Linked DNA regions of Neurospora crassa OR74A. The protein of the gene in region 1 purifies or fractionates together with the protein of each later gene. This does not show direct contact. Links are inferred from orthologs where the notes say so. Each region holds a gene or a part of one and is shown in the gene's direction. Other genes may lie near its edges.

What was found.
Region 2: the proteins of NCU01793 (region 1) and NCU04799 purify together in Saccharomyces cerevisiae (affinity purification with mass spectrometry; 3 studies listed by BioGRID, with this or other methods). This does not show direct contact. The link is inferred for Neurospora crassa OR74A from reciprocal best matches to the Saccharomyces cerevisiae genes YRA1 and PAB1.
Region 3: the proteins of NCU01793 (region 1) and NCU06226 purify together in Saccharomyces cerevisiae (affinity purification with mass spectrometry; 3 studies listed by BioGRID). This does not show direct contact. The link is inferred for Neurospora crassa OR74A from reciprocal best matches to the Saccharomyces cerevisiae genes YRA1 and RPL25.
Region 4: the proteins of NCU01793 (region 1) and naf-1 purify together in Saccharomyces cerevisiae (affinity purification with mass spectrometry; 5 studies listed by BioGRID, with this or other methods). This does not show direct contact. The link is inferred for Neurospora crassa OR74A from reciprocal best matches to the Saccharomyces cerevisiae genes YRA1 and NAP1.
Region 5: the proteins of NCU01793 (region 1) and NCU00210 purify together in Saccharomyces cerevisiae (affinity purification with western blotting; 7 studies listed by BioGRID, with this or other methods). This does not show direct contact. The link is inferred for Neurospora crassa OR74A from reciprocal best matches to the Saccharomyces cerevisiae genes YRA1 and CBC2.
Region 6: the proteins of NCU01793 (region 1) and NCU06678 purify together in Saccharomyces cerevisiae (affinity purification with mass spectrometry; 4 studies listed by BioGRID). This does not show direct contact. The link is inferred for Neurospora crassa OR74A from reciprocal best matches to the Saccharomyces cerevisiae genes YRA1 and XRN1.
Region 7: the proteins of NCU01793 (region 1) and NCU08501 purify together in Saccharomyces cerevisiae (affinity purification with mass spectrometry; 3 studies listed by BioGRID, with this or other methods). This does not show direct contact. The link is inferred for Neurospora crassa OR74A from reciprocal best matches to the Saccharomyces cerevisiae genes YRA1 and TOM1.

Annotation. Positions count from the first base shown.
Region 1 is NC_026502.1:2,392,373-2,396,938, forward strand, and holds the start of NCU01793 (RNA binding domain-containing protein), read left to right. Parts: upstream 1-1,670; 5' UTR 1,671-2,155; coding exon 2,156-2,386; intron 2,387-2,447; coding exon 2,448-2,477; intron 2,478-3,314; coding exon 3,315-3,479; intron 3,480-3,538; coding exon 3,539-3,862; 3' UTR 3,863-4,566. Other genes in the region: NCU01794 (hypothetical protein), read left to right, coding at 527-697. UniProt on the Saccharomyces cerevisiae protein: RNA-binding RNA annealing protein. May have a role in pre-mRNA metabolism. Component the TREX complex, which operates in coupling transcription elongation to mRNA export.
Region 2 is NC_026506.1:863,707-867,949, reverse strand, and holds the start of NCU04799 (polyadenylate-binding protein), read left to right. Parts: upstream 1-1,240; 5' UTR 1,241-1,654; intron 1,655-1,887; 5' UTR 1,888-1,910; coding exon 1,911-4,042; intron 4,043-4,100; coding exon 4,101-4,243. UniProt on the Saccharomyces cerevisiae protein: Binds the poly(A) tail of mRNA. Appears to be an important mediator of the multiple roles of the poly(A) tail in mRNA biogenesis, stability and translation.
Region 3 is NC_026503.1:1,964,876-1,968,473, reverse strand, and holds NCU06226 (60S ribosomal protein L25), read left to right. Parts: upstream 1-1,311; 5' UTR 1,312-1,487; coding exon 1,488-1,512; intron 1,513-1,738; coding exon 1,739-1,803; intron 1,804-1,881; coding exon 1,882-2,174; intron 2,175-2,235; coding exon 2,236-2,323; 3' UTR 2,324-2,814; downstream 2,815-3,598. Other genes in the region: NCU06227 (hypothetical protein), read right to left, coding at 1-908; small zinc finger protein Tim8, read right to left, coding at 3,256-3,431. UniProt on the Saccharomyces cerevisiae protein: Component of the ribosome, a large ribonucleoprotein complex responsible for the synthesis of proteins in the cell.
Region 4 is NC_026505.1:4,745,631-4,750,015, reverse strand, and holds naf-1 (nucleosome assembly protein), read left to right. Parts: upstream 1-1,366; 5' UTR 1,367-1,640; coding exon 1,641-1,687; intron 1,688-1,764; coding exon 1,765-1,844; intron 1,845-1,922; coding exon 1,923-2,642; intron 2,643-2,699; coding exon 2,700-3,025; intron 3,026-3,090; coding exon 3,091-3,141; 3' UTR 3,142-3,845; downstream 3,846-4,385. UniProt on the Saccharomyces cerevisiae protein: Acidic protein, which assembles histones into an octamer (in vitro). Involved in the regulation of the localization and the function of the septins during mitosis. Involved in the function of B-type cyclins.
Region 5 is NC_026503.1:3,018,506-3,022,062, forward strand, and holds NCU00210 (nuclear cap binding protein subunit 2), read left to right. Parts: upstream 1-1,523; 5' UTR 1,524-1,714; coding exon 1,715-1,783; intron 1,784-1,881; coding exon 1,882-2,003; intron 2,004-2,091; coding exon 2,092-2,485; 3' UTR 2,486-2,966; downstream 2,967-3,557. Other genes in the region: NCU00209 (hypothetical protein), read right to left, coding at 1-180; NCU00211 (mitochondrial ribosomal protein subunit L31), read right to left, coding at 3,028-3,080, 3,151-3,380, 3,453-3,502.
Region 6 is NC_026505.1:4,231,946-4,236,295, reverse strand, and holds the start of NCU06678 (exonuclease Kem1), read left to right. Parts: upstream 1-1,323; 5' UTR 1,324-1,888; coding exon 1,889-1,893; intron 1,894-1,978; coding exon 1,979-2,072; intron 2,073-2,140; coding exon 2,141-2,447; intron 2,448-2,506; coding exon 2,507-4,350. UniProt on the Saccharomyces cerevisiae protein: Multifunctional protein that exhibits several independent functions at different levels of the cellular processes. 5'-3' exonuclease component of the nonsense-mediated mRNA decay (NMD) which is a highly conserved mRNA degradation pathway, an RNA surveillance system whose role is to identify and rid cells of mRNA with premature termination codons and thus prevents accumulation of potentially harmful truncated proteins.
Region 7 is NC_026502.1:3,442,928-3,446,711, reverse strand, and holds part of NCU08501 (E3 ubiquitin-protein ligase TOM1-like protein), read left to right. Parts: coding exon 1-2,457; intron 2,458-2,509; coding exon 2,510-2,572; intron 2,573-2,627; coding exon 2,628-2,765; intron 2,766-2,824; coding exon 2,825-3,784. UniProt on the Saccharomyces cerevisiae protein: Probable ubiquitin ligase protein involved in many cellular processes, such as transcription regulation, maintenance of nuclear structure, cell cycle, mRNA export and rRNA maturation.

The DNA of each region.
Region 1 (4,566 bases):
GGTGGGTTGAAACAACTCTAACCAAAGTGGAATGGGCCCACTGACGCCGCCCGGGATTTAAAGCGCTGGGGTGTCCGCCCACAGAAGCCCTGACGTTGGTCCGGGCAGCGCAGCCGGTATACCTAACGAAAGAAGAGGTCCTTCCTTCAGCTTGGGTCCGTCCACGTGACTATCGGATCCTCTTGTAAATGAACGGATGGAGATGTACCGATACATCGATGCTGCGTCGCGGCCCTCAAGGTGGAAAGCTGTCCATAACACCCGACAATCGGCATCATCACTTTCGAATTTGCGGTCCTCCCGGCGCAGAACAGCCAGTGCGATTGGCATCACCAAGAAAAAGTGAGCACGGCATTTTCTTGTCTCTGTCCAGCCGTCTGATTGACAGCTTTTTGAGCAGCAGAACAGCGCCCTTTGGACCCACTTGAACTCCCCTCCAAGCATTGCGAGTCGCAACAAGTCTACAGCTACCAGTTACGGCACCGAACGAATACCCAACACAGACTTTTCCTACGCCAACGACACAATGATTTCTGACGCCGAACTTTACCGTCTCGCCATCGTTCTCGGGTGCGCGGCCATGGTTCTTATTGTTCTCCACCACTTCCTCGAAACCAATGCCGAAGATCTCGAAACCGATGTTGTCCAGGAGAAGAAGGCAACAAAGGTGGCATCGGCCCCGACCAAGGCAAAATAGGACACAGCGTCCGCAAAATTGTACGGTACGAAGACAGAGACTATATTTCACAAACGGCACGATACAGCTTGTCCCGCCCTTGGGACATCTGGTTGGGGCGAGGCCGAGAAGGACAGGAGACAGACGGCCTACAGAACACTCTCTTCTACTGAGGGCAGAGCAGGACAGAGCTGGTCTGGGGCGCAACCGATATGCAAGGGAAGGGAACCCCGGAATCACAAAAGGAATACAGGGACATAGCATTAGGAAAGTAACGAGGTTTCGGGCCGAGGAGGATTGAATGGGTCAGAGTCGGTTGATACCCCATGGTTGACCCAATGCATAGGAGCAGACTCTTGCACTGGATTTCAGTTTTTGTTCGGATCATGGTGTATCATGTCACCAGTTAAGTAGCAGAAGGGTGCCAAGCGCTCTGGGTAGCATGACTGACTAATAATATGGTTTGTTCTTTTGTTATGTGCAAAGGGGTCGTTCTTTGTTTCCGCTTGTGAAAGAGCTCAATTGCAAACGTCCCTGAAGAAGCAAGTGGAAGCTTGGAGTGTGTGGGATAAGAACATCCATAAACAAGGACACACAGCTCCAAAGGGTCCCTGAAAGTGGTGACGCGTCTCGGAGAGTTGGCTATGTGTCCCGCCATCGCAGGTACCGGTACCATAACAGAACGGCCCAGCTGCGTCAGGAGGGATGGGTCTAGCCCCAAAGAGATTAGCGTACCAATGAGTGCCATCAGCCAAAGCGATTGCCACAAGGCTGTGATTGGCCATGACTGTTCTTTCCCCTTCTGAGCGAAGCCAAAGCGGTGGGGTGGCCAGTGCGGCAAGGATCCCGTCACGTTGGATGTTGTTCAGGACAGGCGCGTGTGGCCGCAAGTTAGTAGTGTATGGGCGGGAGCCTGCTCAGCCTGCCAAGCCTTGACGAAAGCGCAGCGAGGTGGCTCCGGTCCCCGTCGGTTCTCCCTCAAATTCTGGGCGGACACCGGTTTCTACTCCCTCCTCCGCCCCCCCCTCGTTCACCTCTCTCGCCCATTCACCACTTTATCACCCAAACAACACCACCTATTCCCCAACACAACCTACTATCACCGCCAAAGCCAAAGTCCATCACCGATACAGCCCATCCGCTCAAGACCCATATTCTTTTCATTGCTCGCAGGACTGCATCCAACTTCGTCAGCCTGACCACGTCCATTTCCACTTGCCATTCGAGTCGATCAGATCACAGTGTCGCTGCACCTTTTCCGTTGCAGCGCGACCCTTGCTCCGCTTCGACTTCACGCGACCTTGCGCTACCAGCGAGTCGTAACCTGACCTCCCTATCACTCTTCTGCCCAACGCGACCTTCGCCAGCTCTACTGCGCATCTGAGCCCGTCCGCGCTTCCTAATCTCTGAAGCCACCTTGACCACGCGTCTCGTCTTTCTCACCACTTCTAAATCACTTTCCAGCAACCCACCGCCATAATGTCCGGAAAGCTCGACCAGTCTCTCGACGAGATTCTCTCCACTCAGCGCCGCGGTAAGTCCAACGCCCGCGGCCGTGGAGGTCGCCGCTCGGCTGGCGGTAAGCCCACCAATGCTGCCCCCGCTGGCGGTATCCAAAAGAACACAAAGCCCGCTCGCAACGCTGCCAAGCCGGCGCCCGCAAAGAGTGCTGGTCTTACCGGCGAGAGCAAGATTGTCGTGAGCAACCTGGTGAGTCGCGTCCTCCAGCTTTCTCCTGCGTAGCATCCTTCACCGCTAACTCCCATCGCAGCCCAAGGACGTTTCCGAAGGCCAGATCAAGGTATGTTATTACCGATGAGGCCATTTAGCCTTCGGACTTTTATCGACATCCCTCTTCCGTGGCGTATCCAATCGGCGTCGTTTTCTCCACTGGGCGGTCGGGACGGTCGTTTATTGCAAATCGGCCCTAGGCCATCAAGACTGCCGTTGATTGCTCCTCCCTGACGTGTGTCATTACATTTCGTCATGTTGCGAGTTGAGCAGATCGCAGTCACGCTCTCCCCTCCTTATCATTGTGGTGGCTGGCAAGCGCCTCTGGTTCGGAAAGGGACAAGCAGTGCAGGATCCGGCAGACAAATCTTGTATGGGAGCCTAGCTGGGGGGTCATGCATCATCTCTTCCTGGCTGGTCACCTTGAAGTCGATCTTTGCACCCCAGCGCGCCACGCAGTGAGCGATGTTCGAGGCTCTGTTTCTCATGTCCTGGTTGGACGATTTCTGGGGGGTTTTGGTCCATCAGGGGATTTACAACTCCGGGGAACCGGGGTCTAGCATCGTGGTTGTTCGGGAATTCTACGAGAGGACGGCATCACATCAACTGGACCATGCTTGGATTGTCTGGCATAACTGGATCCCTTCACACGTCCTACTGCTTTACGGGCTGTGGGCCCAGACGCATCGGATCGTATGGATGGCTCTAGTGAGTGTTGGATTTTCGGCTCACCTGCCAGTTGCTGGTGTTGCTGACCTGGAGATTACGCGCGCTGCTCTGGCTATATCCTGGTTTTGGGCCGGCTCGAGATAATGCCCTAGCTTTGACCGATTTGAAACCGAACCGTTACGAACACGACCACACTGAAACTGGCGCACGACGCTAACCACGAATTACCCTGTGATAGGAATACTTCCAGCAAGCTATTGGACAGGTCAAGAGGGTGGAACTTTCGTATGGGCCCGGAGGCACTAGCCGCGGTATTGCTCATATTACCTTCCACCACGCCGATGGTGCTACCAAGGCGTACAACACTCTCAACGGTCTCCTGATTGACAACCGCCCGGTCAAGGTACGCTCATTCTCCATTGTATGAATCTTCTGGTTCTGGCTTTTCTAACGTTCCCCTAGGTCGAGGTCGTTGTTTCCAATGCCGAGTTGATCCCTCAGCCCAAGAGCCTGACTCAGCGTATCACACAGCCCAAGGCCCAGCCCAAGTCTGCCGCCACTGTCAAGCATGCCGCCAACGCCCCCAAGGGTGCTGCTGCTGCTAAGCCTGGCAGCAAGAAGGGTCCCCGTCGCCCTCGCAGCGCCCGCCCTGCCAAGAAGACCGTCGAGGAGTTGGATTCTGAGATGGCTGACTACTTCGAGAGTGGCACCACGGACAACGCCACCGGAGCCGCGCCGGCCGCTGCCAACGGTGGTGATGCTCCCATGGAGGACGAGATTCTTTGAACGAAGGGTATGCATGAGGAACAGCAACAGTCGATGAGAGCGAATGCCAGCTTCAGCGACAACTTTGTTTGACGGATTTCGGATTGTCTATGATTGTTTTACTATTTTATTTCGGGTTCGGGCAGGGTCTACAGCTTAGGTCAACAGCTTGATGAAATTTTCTCCAGACTCACGACGACCTTCAATTATCGCCTCTCCACTATTATTCTATTAGCGAATGCTGTATGACCTGCGACTGGTTCGCCGCGACCTACCATCTCGCTCCTGTCGTTTACGGTCCCTCTGATGGAAGATGGATTGCGGCAGGACACGTCTGCCAAAGGGCCAAGGGTCACAATTTGGTGTTGTTATCAGCACTTTGTCACTTATCCTTTGGTCGCCTGTTAAGCGTCTTCCCCTCCCAGTACCCCAAGGCGATGAATATAATTTCGAACAAATAGCTCGCCTCTGCTACTAAATTGTTGGAGCGCAACGGACATATATGTCAGCGAAGCGGGAGCAATATCCACAGTGGTCCTTTTCACATCGCAAGTCACGACCAAATCTAGCATGCGCAGGGCGTTGCCTTTCTGTACTTTACAGAGAGCTACACCTGCGGAGGGTAAATTGTGCATCCCAAGACCAGAAGAGAAAGCTCAAGCAGCTAGATCAGCGTGGATCGAGGACCCTCGAGCGCTTCCGGGCAAGAAAAAGGCGGAAGTTAA
Region 2 (4,243 bases), on another chromosome or scaffold:
AAGCAGCGTCGTCCGTCAGATGCCTGCTCCCGCCTTGGTTCCTTCCACTTCACTTGACTTCTTGATTGAGTGATTGTGGTGTCCGCCGTGCCAATTGCTGCGCTAACGGTGGTGGAGGTAGTCTTGATATATGAATATCTTCATACGAGTTCCTTCCTTTTCCAGATGAACCCAGCAGCAACTCGGGTGGGACTGGTTCGGGTATTTGTATCAAGCCGATCTTGACATCTTGTTCTTTTCCATGTTAGACTTGACCCGGCACAGGGACCAATCACCACAATGGGACCAACCTCAACAGACAGCAGCCGCCATCAGGACCAAAACCTTTTCGTCGAAATGTTAGGATGTGTCATTACGCTCGAACTGTTCGAGTACCCAAGATGCCCTGTTCCAGACTTTGGTTTTTGCCGCTGGCTAACCAGTATATGACTGCAACATCCTGGCAGGTCATCCGGCCAAGTTGCCCCATCCAAGGTTCCGTGCGCGGCTTTGCCAACAATGTCTTTTTTGCAGGTGAAATGGACTGCGAATGCTGATACTCAGGACATCCGTTTTACTTCTCTATTTTTGTCTGGTGTGAAATATGCCCGTGGCACGAATGCAGCAGCAATGCCGTTTGCTAGCGGACTTCCAGAAAGGTAAGGCGGTCGTTAGCATTGTTCCATGGTGATGGGACAGATGCCAGCGACCCAGTGCCAAAATCCGGCACACCGCTGTAACCTATTGCATCTTCAACTCCAACCGCCAACTGAGATGGAATGTCCCGTGATTCAATACAAGTGAATCTCGCCGGTTTATACCAAATAGGTACGGCTGAAACGCAGGGTTTCATAACAACCCTCCAGGGTTCATGAATAAGTGCCCATGTCTGCCTGTTGTTGGCATGAGTCGTCGTCAGCCATGGTCGACCACAGTACCGTAAGTATGCTTGATCTCAGGTGGTGGCCCGGGAGCAAGTGGAAGTGCCAGGCAAAGTTGGAAGTCGCACGTTTCGCTGGATCTCCGGTCTGGTCTGCAGTCTGCACAGGTGGATGGATGCCTTTATGCGAGAATTCCTGGCGGGTCCTATCGATAAATCAAGGTTTTGCAGCCCATGCCACCCCGATACCCGCATGCCCTGACCGCCCTAGCCGCACTTCACCGGCTACGAGGGGCGCGGCACAGTGCGCAACCACAAGATGCGTGGGCGGGAAAGAAAAAAAATCTGACCTCCGCATTAAGACGTGAGCCATCCGGGCGTCGTTGCTTCTTGCCCTCTTTCTCCTCCTCTTCTTTCTTCAGCGGACCTCACGCCCTTTATCCTCAGGAAACTCCTCCAAACCGAAGCCAGAAAGAAGTCAGATAAGTACGAACATTTACCCTCTCGGTCTCTGTTCTATCTACTTCTTGTCTGTGACAAACAAAACCTCACCAAAAAAATTTGAAAATCGCCGAAAAAAGAGAAATCCCCCCCATCCATACAAAACCCCATAAAACCCACCAAATCCACCCACCTTTTTTGGAAGACATTTACCCAAGTCTCCAAGTCCACCAGTCTTCCTCTCCCTCTCCCGAATCTCGTCCTTGACCAGTCGAGTTCATCCTCCCTCTTTGTCAATACCGTCGCCCGTTCTCCGCGCCGGTTTTACTTGCTCCACACAACTCTAGATCTCGGGTACGTTGCTCGTCGCACTATCAATTCCTCCTGCCTTGCCATCGTCGTTGTCGTCGTCGCCGTGGCCGCCGCCAGTGCCGCCCGCCCAACGTCACGTCAATTGAGACTTGTCCTCTCCTCCTCCTTTCCGCTGTCGTCGTCGGTCGACACATCGGTTACCCCTCGGCGCCTTGATCAGAGACACAGACACACACAAAAGGATACGGACGCTGACAGTTCCATCCATCATACAGAATCTACAGTTTAACCAGCAAAAATGGCTGCCACTTCTACCGCCGCTGTCGACCAGCTCGCCGCTGACCTCGGCAACACCAGCCTCGACAACAAGGCCGCTGCCCCGGCCCCCATCGACACCAGCGCTGTCCCCGAGGCCCAGGCCGAGGGTGCTGAGGCTGCTCCTACCCCCACTGCTGCCCCTCACCCCCAGGCTTCCGCCTCTCTCTATGTCGGCGAGCTTGACCCCTCCGTCACCGAGGCCATGCTCTTCGAGCTCTTCTCCCAGATCGGCTCTGTCGCCTCCATTCGTGTCTGCCGCGATGCTGTCACCCGTCGCTCCCTCGGCTATGCCTACGTCAACTACAACACCACCGCTGACGGCGAGAAGGCTCTTGAGGAGCTCAACTACACCCTGATCAAGGGCCGCCCTTGCCGCATCATGTGGTCCCAGCGTGACCCCGCCCTCCGCAAGACCGGTGCCGGCAACATCTTCATCAAGAACCTCGACGCTGCCATTGATAACAAGGCTCTTCACGACACCTTTGCTGCTTTCGGCAACATCCTTTCCTGCAAGGTTGCCCAGGATGAGCACGGTAACTCCAAGGGCTACGGTTTCGTCCACTACGAGACCGATGAGGCTGCCTCCCAGGCCATCAAGCACGTCAACGGCATGCTTTTGAACGAGAAGAAGGTCTACGTTGGCCACCACATTCCCAAGAAGGACCGCCAGAGCAAGTTCGAGGAGATGAAGGCCAACTTCACCAACGTTTATGTCAAGAACATTAACAACGAGGTCACCGACGAGGAGTTCCGTGAGCTCTTCGCCAAGTTCGGTGAGGTCACTTCTTCCTCCCTTGCCCGTGACCAGGAGGGCAAGTCCCGTGGCTTCGGTTTCGTCAACTTCACCACCCACGAGGCTGCTGCCCAGGCTGTTGATGAGCTCAACGGCAAGGACTTCCGTGGCCAGGACCTCTACGTCGGCCGTGCCCAGAAGAAGCACGAGCGCGAGGAGGAGCTCCGCAAGTCCTACGAGGCTGCCCGCCTCGAGAAGGCCAACAAGTACCAGGGTGTCAACCTGTACATCAAGAACCTCGGCGATGATGTCGATGACGACAAGCTCCGTGCCATGTTCTCTGAGTATGGCCCCATCACCTCCGCCAAGGTCATGCGCGATTCTCTGATCGAGGGCTCCGAGGAGAAGGATGAGAAGGACAAGGAGAACAAGAAGGAGGGTGAGACCAAGGAGGAGGAGCAGAATGAGGGCTCTGAGAAGAAGACTGAGAAGAAGGGTGACCGCAAGCTCGGCAAGAGCAAGGGCTTCGGCTTCGTTTGCTTTAGCAACCCCGATGATGCCACCAAGGCCGTCACTGAGATGAACCAGCGCATGGTCGATGGCAAGCCCCTCTACGTCGCTCTTGCCCAGCGCAAGGATGTCCGCAAGAGCCAGCTTGAGGCCAGCATCCAGGCTCGCAACCAGCTCCGCATGCAGCAGGCCGCTGCCCAGGCTGGTATGCCCCAGCAGTACATGCAGGCTCCTGTCTACTACGCTGGTCAGCAGCCTGGTTTCATGCCCGCCCCCGGCGGTCGTGGCGTCCCCTTCCCCCAGGGTGGTATCGTCCCCGGCGTTCAGGGTGGTCGCCCTGGCCAGTACCCCTACCAGCAGGGTGGCCGCGGTGGCGTCCCTCCCCAGCAGATGCCCCCTATGGGTTACCCCATCAACCAGTTCGGCCCTGGTGCTTTCCCTCCTAACACCCCTCAGTACATGGCTGCTATGGGCCAGGTTGGTGCTCTTGGTGGTGGCCGTGGCGGTCCCGCTGGCCGGGGTCCTCAGGGCATCCCCGCCGGTATTCCCCAGGGTCTCCAGGGCGGCCCTGCCGTTCCCGGCTACCCCCCTGCCGGTCGTCCCCAGAACGGTGGCGGTCGCGGCACTCCTCGCGGCAACGCTAACTTTATGGCTGCCGGCCGTGGTGCCTCCCCCATTCCTGGCGCTCCTGCCGACCTCAGCGCTGGCTCTTTCCTCCAGGCTCAGCTCGCTACCACTCAGGATCCTCAGGCCCAGAAGCAGATCATTGGCGAGAACCTCTTCCCCAAGATCCAGGCCATCCAGCCCGCTCTTGCTGGCAAGATCACCGGCATGCTCCTCGAGATGGACAACGCTGAGCTGATCAACCTGTAAGTCTACATGTCTATTCCTGACTCTTCTACATATCGCTAACCTGTCTCTCTGTAGGTTCGAGGATGACAACGCTCTTAACGTCAAGGTCCAGGAGGCTCTTGCCGTGTATGACGAGTACCTCAAGACTCAGGGCCAGCAGCCCACCCAGCAGCCCGCTGAGGCCAACGGCGAGCAGCCCAAGGCTGAGGAGCAGAAGC
Region 3 (3,598 bases), on another chromosome or scaffold:
GTAATGGCAAAGTTGTTGCGTGACGAGCCAGAACGTAGCTCTTCCTTGCGAAACGGCCTGTCGTTTCCAACCTGATCTGATGTTCTCCTCCACAGGTAATAGACCAGCCGTTGGGTTGTCTTGGATTCCACCATCTCGTACCCGATCGATTCCATAATAGCCGCTAACCTCTCTTGATCCAGATATCGCGAGTTGGTGACGCATGGGGCCGGTAGCACAAGGAACAAACTTGGAAAGAATGCAGCGGTTGTCCCGGAGAACCGCTTCGGCGATGTTAGAAATTGTGTCGTGCGGACCAGCATCTCGCCTCTGTCCTTATGGTCTGGGACAAAGTTGAGCACCAAAGAAAGGCTGATGATGTCAAACTTCTCCGACTCGTCCTTCGGCAACGGGCGCTCCATGAAGTCCTGCTCAAGAATCCCAGGCTCTTGGCTGTTGAGATCGATCCGAGTGATGTCGAAATGGTTACTTTGAGCACATGCGTTCTTTGTACTCAGCGCTCCAACTTCCAGCATGCGCAAGCGGCCTTCCTTATACTCCTCGGATGAGAGGTACGGCCCAACCCACTCCATGAGCACGTTGGAGCTGTCGCCGCCTCGGTCATGTCTCTGCCCCTGGAGACTTGCTTCCTGATATTTCTCGATACCACCCAAAGCCTCGATCTCCGCCTCAATTGCCGCGACCTGTGTGTTATCGTTCTTCTTCATAGCCTGCACCTTCCTCTTCTCTAGGAGATGGAGTTTGTTGATGATGGATTTCGTGGTTTTCCGCGCAAGTGACTTGGGCTTTGTGACCGTGGGCGGACGGCCTGCTGCCAGGTTTTTGACCACTCCCTTTTTCTTAGGTCGCGTAGCCATGGGCGGACGCCCAGCTGCAAGGTTCTTGCTTACTCCTTTCTTGGGTGCCATAGTCCTTCGTCGCGTGCTATGCTGTAACAAGTATATAGCCGCAAATAGTCGATCTTGTCGATACTGTGATCCGTCTCGGTGAGATTGGTTTTCGATTTCGATTGGTGGTTCGTGACACTGTAGTTAGCAAGACAACTACACCACGTCCTTGTCTGGAGGTCGTGATAGGCACAGAACAGCGAGGCTTGGAGCTGTGAAAATCCAAGGTGTCCTGCACCGACTTCATCCGACAGACCACGAGCAGAAGGAGGAAAGCTGGATCGGAGGGCGCATCATGACCTTCAAGGTTGAATGACGGAGTGCGTAGCGATAAAGTGATGATCGGAGGTCGAGATTCAAAATACTGTGGAGCATATTTCGCGAAAGTGGATATTCTGGTGTGGTTCAGAGCCCGTTTGCGCCAGTTTGCGCAGCTCAACCCCTGCCAGTACCACTTCAGCCACACTACCAAGCCACACAAATCCCGCGCGCACACTTTTTCCTCCCCCAAATTTTGGCCAAAAAGTGAACTTTCTCCTCTCCGACAACGACCAGCGAGAATCCCGATTTCTTAGCCCGACGACAGCAGAAATCGCAGCAATGGCCCCTAAGGATACCAAGAAAGGTACTTGAAGAAACCTCAAAATCTCACCAGCGACGATTCCACCAAGAATGAATTGAACGGCTCGACAAATATGCTCGCCCCGCGCACAATGCGGATCCTCCGTGTCGCGCAATGGCATTCGGAGGTGATGCACCAAAGCAGCAGCAGACTTTGCGAGTTTGGACAAGATTCTGGCATCATCTTGCTCCAGGCGAATGCTTTTGCTGACGAGGGACTCTATGGATAGGCGGTGCCTCTAAGGCCGGTAAGGGCGCTCAGGCCAAGAAGGCTGCCCAGGCTGCCCTCAAGGGTGTAAGTTTGCGACGACTCGCGATCCCTTCCCCCCTGGTGACGTTCTGATGCTGATTAGAGTTCTTTTTCTCTGTTTAGGTGCACTCGCACAAGAAGACCAAGGTCAGATACTCGACCACCTTCCACCGCCCCAAGACTCTTCAGCTGTCTCGGGCTCCCAAGTACCCTCGCAAGTCGATCCCTCACGAGCCCCGTCTCGATGAGCACAAGGTCATCGTCCACCCTCTCAACACCGAGGGTGCCCTGAAGAAGATCGAGGAGCAGAACACCCTCGTCTTCATCGTCGATGTCAAGGCCAACAAGGCCCAGATCAAGCAGGCTCTCAAGAAGCTCTATGACATTGACACCGTCAAGATCAACACCCTGATCCGGTTAGTTTTGGTCCCTATGGACCGGCATTAATATGGTTCTTGTTGCTAACTCCACTCACAGCCCTGACGGTTCCAAGAAGGCCTTCGCTCGCCTCACTGCCGATGTCGATGCCCTCGACATTGCTGCCACCAAGCTCGGCCTTGTCTAAACTAGCGATTTCATAGCTATGGGAAATACACAAGATTCGGGATAAAAACTATCTTCAAGGGATACATGGGTTTTACTGTTTAACGAAAAAGAAGTCGGCGTCTGATACCCCTTTGGCGTTTGGTCCATGGCATGGAAATGAAAGTTTTTATAACTATTCTGCCCGTTCCATCAGACATGACCAAATGGGCCATTATCCAAACTCCTCCCTTGCAAGCCATAGATCTACTTGCTCTAAGACTTGAATCTGACATCTTGTATTCTTGCTATCACCATGGACTCATTGTCGCATTGTTATCTGCACTTCTATAACCAATTATCCTGCACTGCGCATTGGGTCTGTGTTTGAAGATGAAGATGAGTATCCCGCTATCGCGCGCTCCCATATCATGCTACAAGAACCGCCTGTCATACTGTCTAAGTTCCTGAACAAATTCCCATGCCCTATAAACCCTTTTCCCTTCCAGTTCTACCTTTGATCCTTCCCCTGTCCCATCACATATATCGTACAAGCCTTCAGGCGTAACCGTAACAATTCCTCGAATGACTGTCTCTTAGAATTGTGACCAGAACCTCAATCGCAAGCCCTATCGCAGGGATCAACAAAGGTTCCCTAGCAAAGGGTGCTTCTCTGTACCCCCGTTCCGTCGTAGTAAGCCCGAGTGTACCAGACCCAGCCAGAACCACCATGAAAACAAGCGTCGGATACCTCGGCCGCATCCTCCAAGTCTCCCAAGAAGCCCACCAAGCAGGACCAGCCAACCGAAAAACGTAGCCAGCCAGCCCCGCGGGACAACCAGTTCCTCAAGGGAAACAAGTCACCGTTTTCGCCATCCTCCTTCCTCTGCCTCCTCTTTTCTTTTTGTCCCGTTCTCATCTTTTTTCCTCCTCCTGATAAGCATCCTCCCACGCCTTCCTATCGGCGCGCGAGACCTACTTGCTGCCACCCCTGGTGATCTTTTGCACGTGGGCCATGATGGTCAGGTTGACGTCCAGGAAGCGCTCAACGCAGTCCGCCATGCAGACGGCCTCGGTCTTGTCGAGCTGGTTGGTCTTGATGGGGGAGGTGACGCATTTCTTCCAGCAGGAATCGGTAAGGGCGTGGGTCTCTACACGTGGGAGGTAGCATGTTAGTTTATCTGTTGTACATAACCACTGGGAGGTAGAGTAATGTGGGAAGAAGCATATGGAAGGGGGAGGGGACAGAGAGAGGGTATGGTTTTGGTTATGGTTATGGGAGGGGGGAAAGAGGGAAGTGGTAGGTAGGCTTAGCGAG
Region 4 (4,385 bases), on another chromosome or scaffold:
AGAAGGATCGGGGCCAGACCGTCCCAACGGGCAGTCAGCAAGTGGGGCAGTCACAGGCATGGGATTTTTCTTTCAACACTGCCCGCCAATCGAATGCCAAGCATGTCCGCTAACGCTTGCCTACTTACATACCTCTAGCCAGAAAGGTCGATGGCGGAGATGGGGGTCGCTATCCACGATTTTTACGATAAGCACAGTGCAACAAGGGTCATTCTGGCCCAAACCTTGTCGGCTTCAGTTGGCGATGGAGATTCGTGGGCATCGCGATGATCACTTGGCAGATGCCGCGAGCGGTCTCACTACACCACAACGTGAGAGAACGTGCTCCATACGTGCCCGTACGTCGTGTACTGGGGTCACTGCAGCATCTCACCTGGACTTAGGTTGGACGCCCACGACGGTCTACGGCCATGATGGTTCAGATCGGTCCGATGATGGTCGCTGAACCCAGCGTCGACTCATAATCGAAGTCATAAGCAGAAAAGTGTGCGTCAAGTTGCCTCTGCTGATGAGGTTTTGACTTGCTGAGGACAGAGTGAATCAGCAGAATTTTCAAGTTTGCCTTCCAAAACCTGCCCGGCTCTGGAGGCCTAATTGAGTTGAGAGACCCTAAACGTTAGAAGCAAATCACCGCAGCCCGACGCCGGTGAGAAGGCGAGATGTAAACACCCGTCCAATATTAGCAGCTCGCAGTTCAGACGAAAAGCAACTTCTAAACTATCTTGCACCTATGAGGTACCTTGTAACTTGTGTATATGAAGCCGGCATGTCACCAATATCATTTACCCTACATCATGTCTCTGGCCGGGATCCCTGGAGAGAACGCTAGCACGCAAGACACGCCAGCCAAATGCTGAAGCATGTGGTGCCAGGAAGCGACGCGCGACGGGCAACCTGGAAATACACTACCTGAATGCGATGTACATGAACGGGCTTTGTACGATAAGAACAACAATGGCATGTTTAGGTTCATCTGGCTAGGCGTAGGTACCTGAGGGGATTTTCAGTTCAGACGAGCAGACCGGGCATGCAATGGCCGAGTGTAGAGTCAAACAAGTGACAGGAGGAGCTTGACCCTAAAAAGACGTGACCCATGACAATGGGCACCTTGCCTATGCTGGAATAGAATTGAAGGTCAAATACCTCTAGGTGGTGGTGTAGGGCAAGCGACAAGACTCATGGGCAGCAAATGGAAGTAGCGGACTGGGGCTGGGTGGTCGCCGGCGCAGTGCAGGCATCATGGAGTGGTCCAACGGGGCGCCTCCCGCTGCAGTGCCCTCGACCCGACTGTCCTGCCCGCACTGGCCAGTGCCCCGCAAATTTTCATAGCAACCCCATTGATAGCTTTTCTCCCCTCCCGGTCCCCTCCAGACCCGACCCTCGCTCAACATTTCTTGCACTGCTGCACAACAAGCCTTCTCTGCCTGGACCGACCGGCAACCACAGAACTTTTTGCCTTTCCCACCAGCACCGGGGCCCCTTCATCAATCTCTACACCCGACCGCTTCTTCAATCCAAATTTGCCCTTCCTTCTCCCATTTCTCCCTCCGACATCCACTGTACGTCGGTCGCAGGGTTCTACCACCGCTTCCTTCTCTGTATCCCAACTCATTTCCTTCTCTTGACCAGAACCAGACACAATGGCCGAGCCCATCAGAAACAAGCGGGCTGATCCCCCCATCGCTCCGTGAGTTTTCATCCCCAGACTTGATGGGATGCCCATCCCGAGTATCGCGTACCGTTACTGACCAGCCTTCGCTTCAGCACCCCCCAGAACACTCCTCTTAACACTGCCCCCATCTCGTCGCACGCTCAGCAGCCCGGTGTTGCCAGCATCAAGGAGGGTGAGTGAAGATTCTTGCTGCTGCTGAGACTATTTGGTAGTTTTCTGGGCTTGTCGCTAAACTTACTGTTCGTTGCAGAGGATCTTGACCGTGCCGCCGCCGCTTCCATCTTCGCCAAGGACCCTAGACTTGTGTCCCTTATCCAGGGTCGTCTCGGCTCTCTTGTCGGTCGTTCGTCCGGCTACATTGAGTCTCTCCCTACCGATGTCAAGCGTCGTGTCGCTGGCCTGAAGGGCATTCAGAAGGAGCACTCCAAGCTCGAGGCCGAGTTCCAGGAGGAGGTCCTCCAGCTCGAGAAGAAGTACTTTGCCAAGTTCACTCCTCTTTACCAACAGCGTGCCGCCATTGTCAACGGCCAGACTGAGCCCACTGAGGACCAGGTCCAGGCCGGTGAGGAGGATGAGGAGGAGGAGGATGAGGAGACCGAGGCCGCCCCCCAGGAGGAGAAGGCTACCGAGTCTGCCGAGAAGGTCTCTGGTATCCCCGAGTTCTGGCTCTCTGCCATGAAGAACCAGATCTCCCTCGCCGAGATGATCACCGACCGCGACGAGGAGGCCCTCAAGTCCCTTACCGACATCCGCATGGAGTACCTTGACAAGCCCGGATTCCGCCTCATCTTCGAGTTCGCTGAGAACGAGTACTTCACCAACAAGACTATCACCAAGACCTACTACTACCAGAACGAGAGCGGCTATGGTGGCGACTTTATCTACGATCACGCCGAGGGTGACAAGATCAACTGGAAGGAGGACAAGGATCTTACTGTCCGCGTTGAGCAGAAGAAGCAACGCAACAAGAGTGAGTTGCAGTTCCAGCTTGAATTTTCTCAAACTTGCTCACTAACAAATTGCACAGCCACCAAGCAGACCCGCATCGTCAAGAAGACCGTTCCTACCGAGTCTTTCTTCAACTTCTTCTCCCCCCCTAAGGCCCCCACTGATGACGACGAGTCTACCACCTCCGATATTGAGGAGCGTCTTGAGCTCGACTACCAGCTCGGTGAGGATATCAAGGAGAAGCTTATTCCCCGCGCCATCGACTGGTTCACTGGCGAGGCCCTCGCCTTTGAGGAGCTCGATGAGGAGGACTTCGAGGACGCCGAGTTCGATGATGAGGATGATGAGGATGATGAAGATGCCAGCGAGGACCAGGATGACGAGGATGAGAGCGATGAAGACGATGTAAGACTTTCTGAATTTTCCCCAACACATGCTATGCTCTGCAGGTATGCTGACAAATTTCACAGGAGGACGGCAGCAAGCCCAAGCAGGAGGCTGCTGAGTGCAAGCAGAGCTAAACGCTGATCGCTGAATGAACACGAAAATGATACCACTATACCACGCAGGCAAGGGGCAGAACGCCCAATGACATTTGGCGTCTGAGTTCCAAATTATTGAGGGTCATGCATGACCGCACCGGGGTGGCCGTGGGCTCAGGAAGAACAGGAGTGTGCGGATGGCCGGAGCTTGTGGTGGATCGATAACCATTCTACAGAATTTGAATTGGTCACATGAGGAGTTGGCTTCAGCACCTGCCTTGACGCTGTGGTTGTCTCTCATAAGTCTTAGCAGGATAGTTCGTCCTGACCCCTGAAGCAGTGGCACGTCAGAGCGCAAGGATGGGAGCAGATATGCGAACTAAACCGGAACAAGGGTCGATTTGTGCGTAAAGGGATGATATTATACGGGACAAAAGCAGTGATTCTAGGAGGATTTAGGTGTTGATTTCATAGTACAGCATTGCAGGTGTTTCTACATCACAAACCGTCATCCAACAGCGTGACTCGATGTAGACTGTCTGACTGTCAAGTTCATTAGGCCACGACACCAGGGGCGGATGACTTCTCCAAGGAGTTCTCAGATGGATGTAAATCGTCATGACCCTTGTTAGCCTCGCGTGATGTAGATAGAGTAAACCTCAACGGACGAAAGAGTCGCCGAGCTGAGGCAGTGCGTGCCTGGAAGGCCTGAAGGATGGGAGCTGGGCTTCTGGAAATTTAGTTGGCGATGTCTCTACTGACACGCAAGCTTGGCGGCTCCCGGTCGAGTTTGAAGGTAGGTAGTAAGTACCTCGAGACTTGGAAGTAAACTAAATAATGGAACCCGGGAAGTTGTTACACTATTCAGTGCTCGGGACACGAGGAGAAATAAGAGACCATCTGCGCTGAATCGAGTGAAAGCTGTCTACATGAAAACATACTGGCTCGGACAAAGTCAAGGGGACAACAAAGCCATGTCAGGTCGCTGTGGCAGTTTCCTATACATTGTGCGGACAGTCAGCTCGATTCTTGCGAGTCCTTCTTCTCCTGAGGTGGAAAAAAAAGAGGAGCCCGGGCAAGAAGACGGGAAGTACGGATAGCATGGGAAGAACACACGCCACATCTCATATTTCCATTTTTACTCTACGTTAAGCAATACAGCCCGATTCTATGTTATTCAAAGGGCTGTCAAATTGAGCAAGCGACCAACATACACTGCCAACTGAGTGCTTGCCTTCACAGCGGATCTCTTATTCATTCTATGATTCCAGTGGCGTAATTCG
Region 5 (3,557 bases), on another chromosome or scaffold:
TCTGGCAACAAAGACCTCGTTTCCTCGGTGTGCGATGGTGCGATTGGGTCCCTGACTGGCGTTCCTGGAGGAAGCTATCGAAGCGGGGAGCCGGTTGGTTTCCTCGGCCTGCTCAAAGAGCTTATGGCCGGGGTTTGGCTCCTGGAGCCAGGGCGCCGAGAAGCTCCGGATTTTGGGCATCCCGACTGTGCTTGGTGGTTTTGTGCTAAGAGCTGTCTGTTGTCGCTATACTATCCAACTCGAGCCTGATGAATCCTACAGATGACGGTGGTTCGTGTGGCGCAATGAAAACCGAAGTTGGTGTCTGGCTAGGCAGAAATAGTAGCTTGTGTTGAGGTCCTGCTATGTCCTAGCATGCACGGGCCGGTTTTTGTCGTCGTGCTGCACTTCGCTTTCTCTGCTGAAGTAATGTATGTAGGTGGGGAGGTAATTGGCTATGTAGGTAGGCAGGCGCACTATGGTCGAGGTACGTATGTATTTGATGTACCGGTACTATTAATGTGATGGCGGTTCTCGGTTTTTGAAGATGAAAAAAAAAAAAAAAAAAGGTGATCAAGAGCAAGTAGAACAGAAGCCAAGGGAGGGAAGACAAGGAGAGAGATTGGGATCCCTTTTTGAAGTGGCAGGCCCCTCGATCGATCCCATGGGAGAAAAAGCCAGGAAAGCGAAGTTTGCTAGTGGTCTCGGTTGGCTGGTCAGGATGGTAACAACAAGGTTTGACTAGCGTGTAGTGCTACGGACCTGATGGATGCCCGTGGATGGACGAGTGCTGGATGCCACTATTGTCCAGTCCGAGCCAGTGCTGTAAATGAGGCGTCCAGGGCGTCACTAGAGGCGTCCGCTTCCGTGCCTATGCCGTATATTTTCCGTTGCTTGCCTTGATCGATCGTGTTAGCTTCATTTTAGCGCGTTTCCACTCCTTCCACAGCCCTTTAGTCCGTTTCAACTGTCCGCCGGTGTTCAGTCCAGACCGTGCTCGCCGCCTCGTCTCACACCATCGGTCATTGATCAACAGGAGACAGGCAGGCCGCCCGGGATGAGAGGGGATGGAATGGCCGAATGGAGGTCTTAACGGAGACCTAGCTGTATACATACTATAAATGGTAAGCCCGAGGTAGGTACAGTTGTGCTGTGACGCGCCTGTAAATTGGGTGCCAGATTGCGGTCCAATCGGCTGGCAATGGTTGTTGGATCAACGACAAAGCGCCTCCACCAAGTCCTCCTGCCCTTGCTTCCATCGCTCTGCCCTTGCCTGCCGTCGTCATATTTGCGGGCACCTCGTAAGATAGGGTACCTGACCCACCACCAACGGCTTCCGTCGCCCGTTACAGTGCCAAGACTACCTGGATTGCCATGCAGTGATGTCCGATGCACTGTGACACTGTGCGCCAACAGGACTAAGTGTAACTGACCTGAGCTGAACTGAACTGTGAACGAAGCCTGCAGTGCTGCTGTCGCGGTACACGGGCACACCAGTCGCGCTCAGAAAGTAGCTGCGCCTGTACTTCCACTTTAGCGGGCAACCTAAGTTACCTCTTAGGTAGGTCCAATTCCATTGGCAAGGGAAACCACTGCATCATCCCCATCGACGTCTCAGAACTCCAAACCATTGAACTTCCACTTGGGCTGACAGCTTTTGATTTTCCTTCTTCTTCGCAGTTGCAGGGCACCTTTCACCCAAGAGCAGATAATCCATCTTCACTACCAGGTAACCATGTTGAACACTCGCCAAAGGAGCACCGTAGAGCGCCTTGACAGGCCAAGTGCATACTTTTTCAACAAGGTGAGTGCTCCTGACGGCATTTCCATGCCCAAACATTGCCAATCTCTCCTGTCCATAATTAGCACCCCGTCGACCGCTGACCCATCCACTCAACACAGAATAGGCGCAACAGACGTCACGACCGGGACCACCGCGATGGAGAAAACGAAGACAGTAACATGCATCCCGAAGCGTTCGATGACCCGTTGAAGGATGCGACCACGCTCTACGTCGGCAATCTGCAAGTTTGCCCCACGCTGCCAGTCCTTAATTAAAAAAATCAAAAAAAAATCAAAAGAAACAAGAACTAACCGAATGTACCTCGGCAGTTCCTTCTACACTACCGAAGAACAGGTTTACGAACTCTTTAGCAAATGCGGCGAGATCAAGCGCTTGGTCATGGGCCTCGATCGCTTACAAAAGACACCGTGCGGTTTCTGCTTCGTCGAATACTACACCCATCAGGACGCTCTCGATTGCATGAAGTACATTGGCGGCACCAAGTTGGACGAGCGCATCATCCGAACCGATCTCGACCCAGGCTTCGAGGAAGGGCGACAGTACGGCCGTGGAAAGTCGGGCGGCCAAGTTCGTGATGAGTACCGTGAGGACTACGACGAGGGCCGCGGTGGTCTTGGCCGGCAAATCCAGGCCGAGAGAATGAGGGAGCATGACCACAAGCGCTACGACGATAACGACGAACAATACGGCCGCTTGCGCTAGAGTTGTCATTGCATGGGAGTTACGTGGGACAATGAGGGAGTGCATCATGATCCAGTGCACAGATATTCAACCAGTCGTCATGACAAATCGACACAAAATATGCAAGCCGGCTCTGAAATTACGAATTTTGTTCATTCAGGGCAAGTGGAGGCGGAACAGAGAAGCGTAAAAGACAAATACCCCCTTGGAAGACATGATATTCGTTGTTGTATTGGTATCTTGCTATGGTATTTCGGGAAATTATTGATTTCCCATCCATTCGGTATGGCTCCACACATTCTTCTGTGATGCTCGCCTGGCCGTGTTTGCGCTGCTCTCTGCAGTGGTATCTCAACATGGAGCGAGCAGGAGTGTCCATGATGGACAGGACCTCCAAGTCAGTCAGTCTCTTTGCGAGACGAGACAGGAGGCCTCCTCTTCTTTGCCCCAAGCAAACGGTCCTGTTAGCGGTATCTCCAATGTCACCCATGCCATTTCGCTGCGTAATGTTACAAGTGATATACATGCTTGCACGATATCGTCCATCGTCCGGGTCGAAGGTCTTAGTAACCGGGAGGGTTGACTCTCTGGGACACACGGGTCCACTTGGGAAGCTCTGGAAAAGGAATGCCGTATTAGCCTTGGTCTTTGACTGCTGTGAAGTGATGCACAAGGGTGGCCCGTACTGTGGATGCCCTTGCGGTACCTCTTCTCCTTGCGGTCGAAGATGGTGTACTTGTCCTTGGGCAGCATCTCGGCCTCGGTGGGCATCTCAGCCCTCCAGCGTTCCACCGCCTTGACGGTCTCACCCTTCTTGGCAAGAGCGTTCTCAATGGTGGCGACGACGTTGTCAACGGCCCTCAGTCTGCGGCGCTGCCTGAGCTTCTGGAACTTGGACATGCGCCATGGGATCTTCCTGTTTGCCGCGACATGATTAGCATTTCCGGTAGAACCTTTGGCGCAACTGCAACATAGGGTAGTCGCTTACCAAAGAAGACCCCCGGAGAGGGGGTTGGTGAATCTGAAAGCCCCAAACATTGTGGTGGTGGTGGTGGATGTTTGGGGGGGGAGAGCTGCAACCGGTTCGCTTCGT
Region 6 (4,350 bases), on another chromosome or scaffold:
GTATAGAATGCCTTCGCCTGGGTTCGAATTCCCAATAGAATACCTCGATAAGTTTTATCTCTCTAGGGAGGAATAGTTCCAGAGGATGTTCGTTGCTAATGGTTAGTATAAGTAAAGCTTGTAATTATATGCGTATTGGGCTATAGTACCCCTCGATCTTCCTTAGGTTATTTTTTTTTTCTTTTTTTTTTTTTTCTTTTTTTATATTATTATCCTTAGGTTATTATTTACAACTAGTTTCATGTGTTGTCTTTATTTAGAGCCGGAATTAAAGTTTTTTATTTTTTTTTCGTTATACTTTCTTATTGTTATATTTATATTAAGGAATATATATTTTATACTATTATATCGAAATAGTCCTAAAGGAGGCGTATTTGGGGTAGCCTGAGGTGAATATTCTTATTGGCTACCTATACGGTACCCGTACTCTAATTTTCTTATATACCTAGGTTAGAGTTTTAATTTACAATTATTAGAAAGGGAATAATAGGAATTACTTCTATAAAGAATACCCGCCACTTAGGTAGCTTAGATAAGTAATTTAATATAGCGCTTTCTCCCCTACTACCTACCTCTATCAATATAAGTGTAATATTGATTGAAAATTGCTGTGAAATAATTGTAAGGCTTTTGTTACTTAGAATAGATATTAATTGTTGAATAAATAAATATAATTAAACAATTATTATATTAATAAGAATATTAGCTTGCAATTAGCAATTTAAGTGAGTATATTTATTATGTTGTATATTTTGTAGTTCGGGTCGTATTGTTGTGGTACAGTTCGCTGTTGTCGTACTTTTGTGCGCTGTTGAACGGTTAATTCCGTTTTGTATACAATACCGCGTTAATAGTCGTTGTACTATTAATTAAAACTACGTATTGTAAAATAAAACCAACTTCAATACAACAATATTCAATTATCTAGTAGATTACAGTAAGAAACAATATTGTGTAAGGATGTTGTAGCCCACAACCCCTGCTCAAGCGTTTTATACTATAAAGGCCTGCTACGCCCACTTTTGTCAGACCCCCCATTCCCTCCAGGGCAGTTCCGTTCCGCTCGTCGAGGGCGGAGGCTCGCTTGAGGTTCGTTACCTTGAGGTTCAGTAGTAGCTGGTGCGGGGAGAGAGCTGACAGTGACAGCCGGGAGCCTGATGAGGTGGCGGAGCGCTCACTACTGGCCTGGCCTGGCCGGGCCGAGCGCTAGTACCTAGCTCTAGAGGTACCTCTACCTCTACGACCGACGCTCACGCCGCCCCCAGGCACACAGTCAACCCGCGTGGGGCAACGGAGGCCAACTAGAAACTGCAGTGTGTCACAGCCTGAACACCTAGCCAGCCCGGAGCCCAGGACCCGACACCTTCTCCGTCCCATCCACACCTCTGACGGACCTTCCACTTTTGTTTCTCTTGCGGTTCCATCTCGTAGACATCACCCACTTCTTCCTTTACCTCCGTCTATCTCGAACATAGGCCGCCAACGTCCTAGGCCACTCCTCGGATTCTCAACCTTTCCGCTTTTCTTAGCACTATAGTAGCTTCTTTTCCCGATTGGCGCTGTCGGTTGCTCCAAGGACACTCCTCTTCTTCCCTTCCATAGACAGCATCTTCAGTCTTGGACCTTGCTGCTTCGTCCCCCCTCGGTTTATTGCACCATTGCGATCCCTGGAGGCTTCGCTATCTAGAAACCCGGCCATTATTATTCAGTGCCGGCATTTGAACGACCAGCTTGACGCCTCTCCTTCGCCCCCTGACAGCAGTAACTAAGTAGACTCCCCGTCTGCGACATCTCCTGCGACCGCTCAGCGCGCCCCAATTTCAGACCTCCTTCGCAAACTTCTAGTAGTGTACACATCTAGTCCGGCACCACAGGCCACTTAGTCAACATGGGGTATATGACTCCCACATCAAAGCTCCTCCCTCGCCGTATACGCGCGCGTTGTTCAGGCGTGTGGCTAATACCCCCTCTTGTCCAGTGTTCCCAAGTTCTTCAGATGGCTCTCGGAGCGGTATCCCGCCATTTCTCAGCTCATCGCCGAGAACCGTATCCCCGAGTTCGACTGCCTTTATGTTCGCTGCTCCCTCCCGAGGCCTGATGGCTGTCTTGCGTTACTTGCCTAGCTAACCGGTTTGCTCAGTTGGACATGAACGGTATCATCCACAACTGTACCCATAAGGACACGAGCGATGTACAATTTCGCATGACAGAGGAGGAGATGTTCATTGCTATATTCAACTACATCGAACATCTCTTCGGGAAAATCAAGCCCAAAAAGCTTTTCTTTATGGCTATAGATGGCGTTGCCCCTCGCGCAAAGATGAACCAACAGCGTGCTCGTCGTTTTCGTACCGCGCTGGACAATGAGAAGGCTAGAGATAAGGCGATTCGTGAGGGCAAGGAATTGCCCAAAGAAGAACCTTTCGACAGTAACTGCATCACACCTGGTATGTCTGGCGCTGGTGCCCGCTTGAATGTTTTCCCCGGAGGCTAACTAGCTGCATAGGAACCGAATTCATGGCCAAGCTCTCGCAACAGCTGAGATATTTCATCCATAAAAAGGTCTCGGAAGACAGGGACTGGCAACAGCCCGAGATTGTCTTGTCTGGACACGAGGTCCCTGGTGAGGGTGAGCACAAGATCATGGAGTACATCCGCAATGCGCGCGCTCAACTCGACTATGACGCGAACGTCCGTCACTGTTTGTATGGCCTCGACGCCGATCTGATCATGCTTGGCCTCCTCAGCCATGACCCTCACTTCTGCCTTCTGCGCGAGGAAGTTACCTTTGGCCGCGGCCCGTCTAAGCATAAGGCAAAGGGACTGGAGGAGCAAAACTTCTATTTGATGCATCTCTGCATAGTCCGCGAGTACCTGGAGCTGGAGTTCCAGGATCTCAAGAAACCTGGAGCCATGTCTTTTCCATTCGATATGGAAAAAGTTATTGACGACTTCATTCTTATGGCATTCTTTGTCGGAAACGACTTCCTTCCCAACCTTCCGCGGCTTCACATCAATGAAGGCGCTCTTTCGCTCATGTTTAGGATCTACAAAGAAATTCTTCCGCGCGGCGACGGATATATCAACGAGGGCGGTAAGGTCAACCTCCAGAGACTCGGCCTGCTTCTGGAAGAACTCGGCAAGGAGGAGTATCGCTTTTTCGAACATGAACATGAGGATCAAAGCTGGCTTCGGGCCAAGAAGATGCTTGAAGATAACGAGGCAGAGACAGCAAAGGCAAAGACCAAGGGCAAGCTCATCGTCACCACGAACCAGAAGAATCTCTGGAAGCAGAAGATCAGGAAATTCCTTATGAATAGGAGCACTAATACGCTTGACCTCGGTACCGAGTTGAAGGCCGAGGACCGCAAGTTTGTCCAAGACTTGGCTGATACTGCTCACATTCCTTGGGCAACTAAGGAAGATGACGAGGGACACCGCCACCTAATCCTGTCCTTCCCCGAGAGAGACGACGAGTCGGAAGAGGACGAGGAAGCCCAGTCAGCCGTTCTCCGTATCATCAAGAAGTACGACAACGCCCAAGTCCTGGATTTAACTGCGGCCGACTCGAAGGCTGCCATGGAGGTTAAATACCAGCAAAAGTTCCAAGAGTGGAAAGACAAGTACTATGCCGAGAAGTTTGAGGATTGGACCCCAGAGAACAAGGAGGACGAACTCCGCAAGTTGACGGAGAATTACGTCCAGGGTCTTCAATGGGTGCTCTACTACTACTACCGTGGTATTGCTTCTTGGCCCTGGTTCTATCGCTACCACTACGCTCCCCTGATTTCCGATGTCATGAAAGGCCTGAAAGCCGACCTTAATTTCAAGATGGGTCAGCCGTTCAAGCCATACGAGCAGCTGATGGGTGTCTTGCCAGACCGCAGCAAAAAGATCGTGCCGACAGCATATTGGGATCTTATGACAAACCCCAATTCTCCCATCATCGACTTCTACCCAAGAGACTTTGAGCTTGACATGAATGGCAAGAAGATGGATTGGGAAGCCGTTGTCAAGATTCCCTTCATTGACGAGAAGCGGCTGCTTGCAGCAATGGGCCCCAAGAACGAACTTCTCTCGGACGTTGAGAAGTCGAGGAACGATTTTGGCGTCGCACTCAAGTTCACTTATTCCGATTCGGTAGACTTTGAATACCCTTCCTCCCTTGTCGGAATCTTCCCGCCCATTCCCCACTGCCACTGTATCGAGAACATTTTCGATCTTCCGCCCGTGGAGGGACTGGAATATCGTGTTGGCTTGACCGACGGTGCTCTGCTGAACGAATCGGCGCTGGCCGGATTCCCTTCCCTCGCTACACTGCCATACACCGCCTCCCTTGGGTACCATGGC
Region 7 (3,784 bases), about 1.1 Mb from region 1:
CGCAGCCCCCTGATATCAAATGGAAACAGCCCGTGAAGGAGGATGATCCAATTGAGGAGTCGGTCATCGAGGTGAAGGAGCCCAACTTCTTGGCCGAGCACCGCTCGTCTCTCTTGACAACTCTGTTGGACTTTCTCCCTCGCATTGGCAAAGAAGAGTCATTGGCTGTTTCGGTGTTGAGAATCCTCGTTGTGCTGACCAGAGATCACGCGGTAGCCAAGATTGTTGGGGAGAAGAAGAACCTGCAACGGCTGTTTGTTATGGCAAAGCAGTTGTGCGGTGCCGGTTCCACGCGTCTCAAGCAGACTCATATCTCAGAACACATCCGCCAGATCCTTCGACACATCATTGAAGACGAAGAGACCCTTCGGCAGATTTTTGAGACGGATATCAGGCACCTCATGACTTCGAGGCAGAGGCCCAGCGCAGCCCCGGGCCTTGAACCACAGGCATACCTGCGCACTCAAGCGCATTTAGCTCTGCGGTCGCCCAAGACCTTCGTCGAGGTTAGCACGGAGCTGCTCAAGCTTAACCGGGCCGTTTCGCACTTGGGAGACGGAACGCTGCGCTCCACGCCATTTTTGGTTCTCAAGGAGCGCCCTGCAGATGCTAGTGTCTCGCCGAAGGAGAGCTCAGTCGAACCTGCAGTGCAAGCGACAGAGGATCTCACTATCAGTGACGTCAAGCCTTCAACCGAGGTGACGGACAAGGATATGCACGATGCCCCTAAGAACCCCGCTCAAGACCTCAAGCGGCCGATTCTCGAACATCCCGACGGTGTTGTTCACTTCTTGTTGACCGAGCTGCTCAACTATAAAGATGTTGACGAGAGGGAGAACGTTCCTGCGCCTCCCGCAGCCGCCTCCAAGCCAGAATCTGATGCCACTGCTGCGAATGAGGCTACTCCTTCTCCTTCCGGCGATGAGCAGAATTCGGAGTCGAAGGAGAAAGAGAAGAAGCTGGCCAAGTCCCCGTTCAAGGCCGAGGATCACCCTATTTTCATCTATCGTTGCTTCTTGCTTGACTGTCTTGCCGAGCTGTTGCAGAGCTACAATCGTGCCAAGGTTGAGTTTATCAACTTTAAGCGCTCCGCCCCCGTCCAGGCGAACGCTCCGGTCAAGCCTCGATCCAGTGTGCTAAACTACATTCTCAACGATCTTCTTTGCTTCAGCCCCGCAAGCGGAGTACCCGAGTCGATAGCCATGAAAAAGAAGGCGGCAACGGCAGTGCCAGCGCGCGCTGTTCTGGTTGCCCTTGTTTCCAAGACCGGCGAGAAGCCTCAGAACCGTACCCATGAGCCATTTGAGTATGACGATGAGCCGGACTTGCTCTTTATCCGCCGATTTGTCCTGGATACCATACTTCGAGCTTACAAGGATGCTTCTGTCTCCGGCGAGCCGGCTGATATTCGATACGGCAAGATGAACGCTCTTGCAGAGCTGATGGCCCAAATGATTGGCGAAGGAGACAAAGATTCGCGCCCCAACAACCCGCGCGGTACAGATCCGTCAATCGGACGGTCCCAAGCTCAACTGAAGCGACTCATGTATGAGAAGGGTTACCTGACGTCCCTAACGGCGTCCATTGCCGATATTGACCTCACATTCCCGCACAACAGGGCTCCGCTCAAGCCCATCCTTGCGGTCATCAAAACACTCTCAAAGACTGCAGTCTCGATGAGTCAATTGGGGCTCATCCCTGCTTCGGGTACAGCTGGTACCGACCAAGCCGAGGACGAATTCCTGTCCGATGGGTCGTCCGTCTCGGAAGATCTCACCGATGATCGCGAGGAGACGCCCGATCTTTATCGCAACTCCACATTGGGCATGCTTGAACCCGGACGTGATGATGAGTTCTCCGACGAGGACGAGGATGATGATGAAGACATGTACGACGATGAACAGTATGACGATGAGCTTGACTATGGCGACGACATGTCACAAGACAACGAAGACAACCCTAGTGACGAAGAAGACGACCTCGGCGAGATGGGCGAAATGGGAGGAATGCCCGGTCAACCTGGCGTTGTCGAGGTCCTTATGGGTGAGAACGACGACGAAGAGGACAACGATGACATGGATGACATGGACGAGGATGATGAGATGGACGAAGATGACGAGCAGGAACTTAGTGACGAGGATGAGGACGAGGAAGTCGGCTCCGAAGACATGGATGACTTGGAGGACGATATCCACATTGTTGATGAAGAGGGCAATGCTATTGATGACGACGGTGCGTCGTGGGATGATGGCACCGACGAGGATGAAGAGGATGAGGAAGAGCTCGACTACGAAGCCGAGGCTCAGAATATGCAGGAGGCTCAACTTCACAACCGTCGGACCTTCCCCGAGATCATGCGAGCTGCCATGGAAAATGCTGGCGATGATCTTGATGCTGAGCCAATTCGCGACTTTGATGGGCACTACATCGACGATGATGAAGATGGCGAAGAAGACGGTAAGTTCCCAAGATCCTTTGGAAGAGTGAGCAAGACGGCTAACTCCAATAGATGATGAAGATGAAGGGGAAGACGACATGGATGATGACATGTACTTCGACGGCGATGGCCTTCGTAAGTAATCAGAACGAATTCCTTTACCAGACCTGGTAGCTGACACGAGAAGCAGATGATGACTTGCTTGCGCCCAACATGCCATCAGGGCTTGGCTGGGACATTGCCATCGAACCCAACCATCGACATCGACCGTCCCGAAGCCCTTGGCCCAACAGTCCTTTCGTGGTCGGAAGACACCGTGACGCGATTGGTAAGTTCCTTAAATCCTAGGATATCATCTTCTTGTTCAGAGTGTTGACGATTTGTCAGACTTCCAAAACTTCTTCCGCCGCCCTGCCCATCTCAGCAGACATCTGCCCCCTCCGGCCGACGTCATGTCTGGAACAAATCCCCTGTTGCTTCCTCAGTCTCGTCGTGAGGTTCCTCGTCATGCACACAGCCAGCTGGTTCGTCTGGGGATCACTCCGAATATGATTGGAGGCCTAGGAATGGGTATGGGGGTGGAGCCGTTGGCCTTCATCAGTGATCTCGTCCAACACCTACCCGATGTACGTCTCAGCGCTGGAGGAGGACCCTTGGCCTTGCATTTCACAGCAGACGGACCGGGCGGGATTATCCGCGAACTCAACGCCATCCCAATTCCTCCCCCGCACTCCCGCGAATCACGCCCTACTGAAGCTCGGCGCGATACCTATCAGGAACCTCATCAAGCCGTCCAATTTTCACCGGAATCTACACATGAGAGGTGGCAACAAGAAGTCAAGATGATCTTTGGCTTCGGCTACCAGGACAAAGCTCAGAAGCTCGCACCTCTCATTCTTTCCAAGCTCACGCCGGCAGCAATCCAGGCTGAGAAGGAGGAGAAAGCTCGTAAAGCGGAGGCAGATCGCAAAGCAGAGGAAGAGAGGAAGAAGCGACAGGAAGAGGAGCGCAAGAAGAGAGAGGCCAAAGAAGCGGAAGAGAAGGCTGCGCGTGAGAAGAAGGAGGCAGAGGAGCGTGAGCGCCTTGAGCGCGAACGAGCCGAAGCTGCCGCACAGGCCGCGGCTCAAGCCGCCGCAGATCAAGAGGCAAATGCTGTGTCTCAAGAGGCGCACCCTATGGAGGGCGTTGAGACTCAAGGCCCGGGCGAAAACGCCGAGCAGCAGGCCGAAGATGAACGTCCTCGTGTCTACTACACTCTCCGTAACCAGCAGATCGATATCACTGAGCTGGGCATCGATGCCGAGTATCTTGAAGCCCTTCCTGAAGAGTTCAGGGACGAGGTGATCG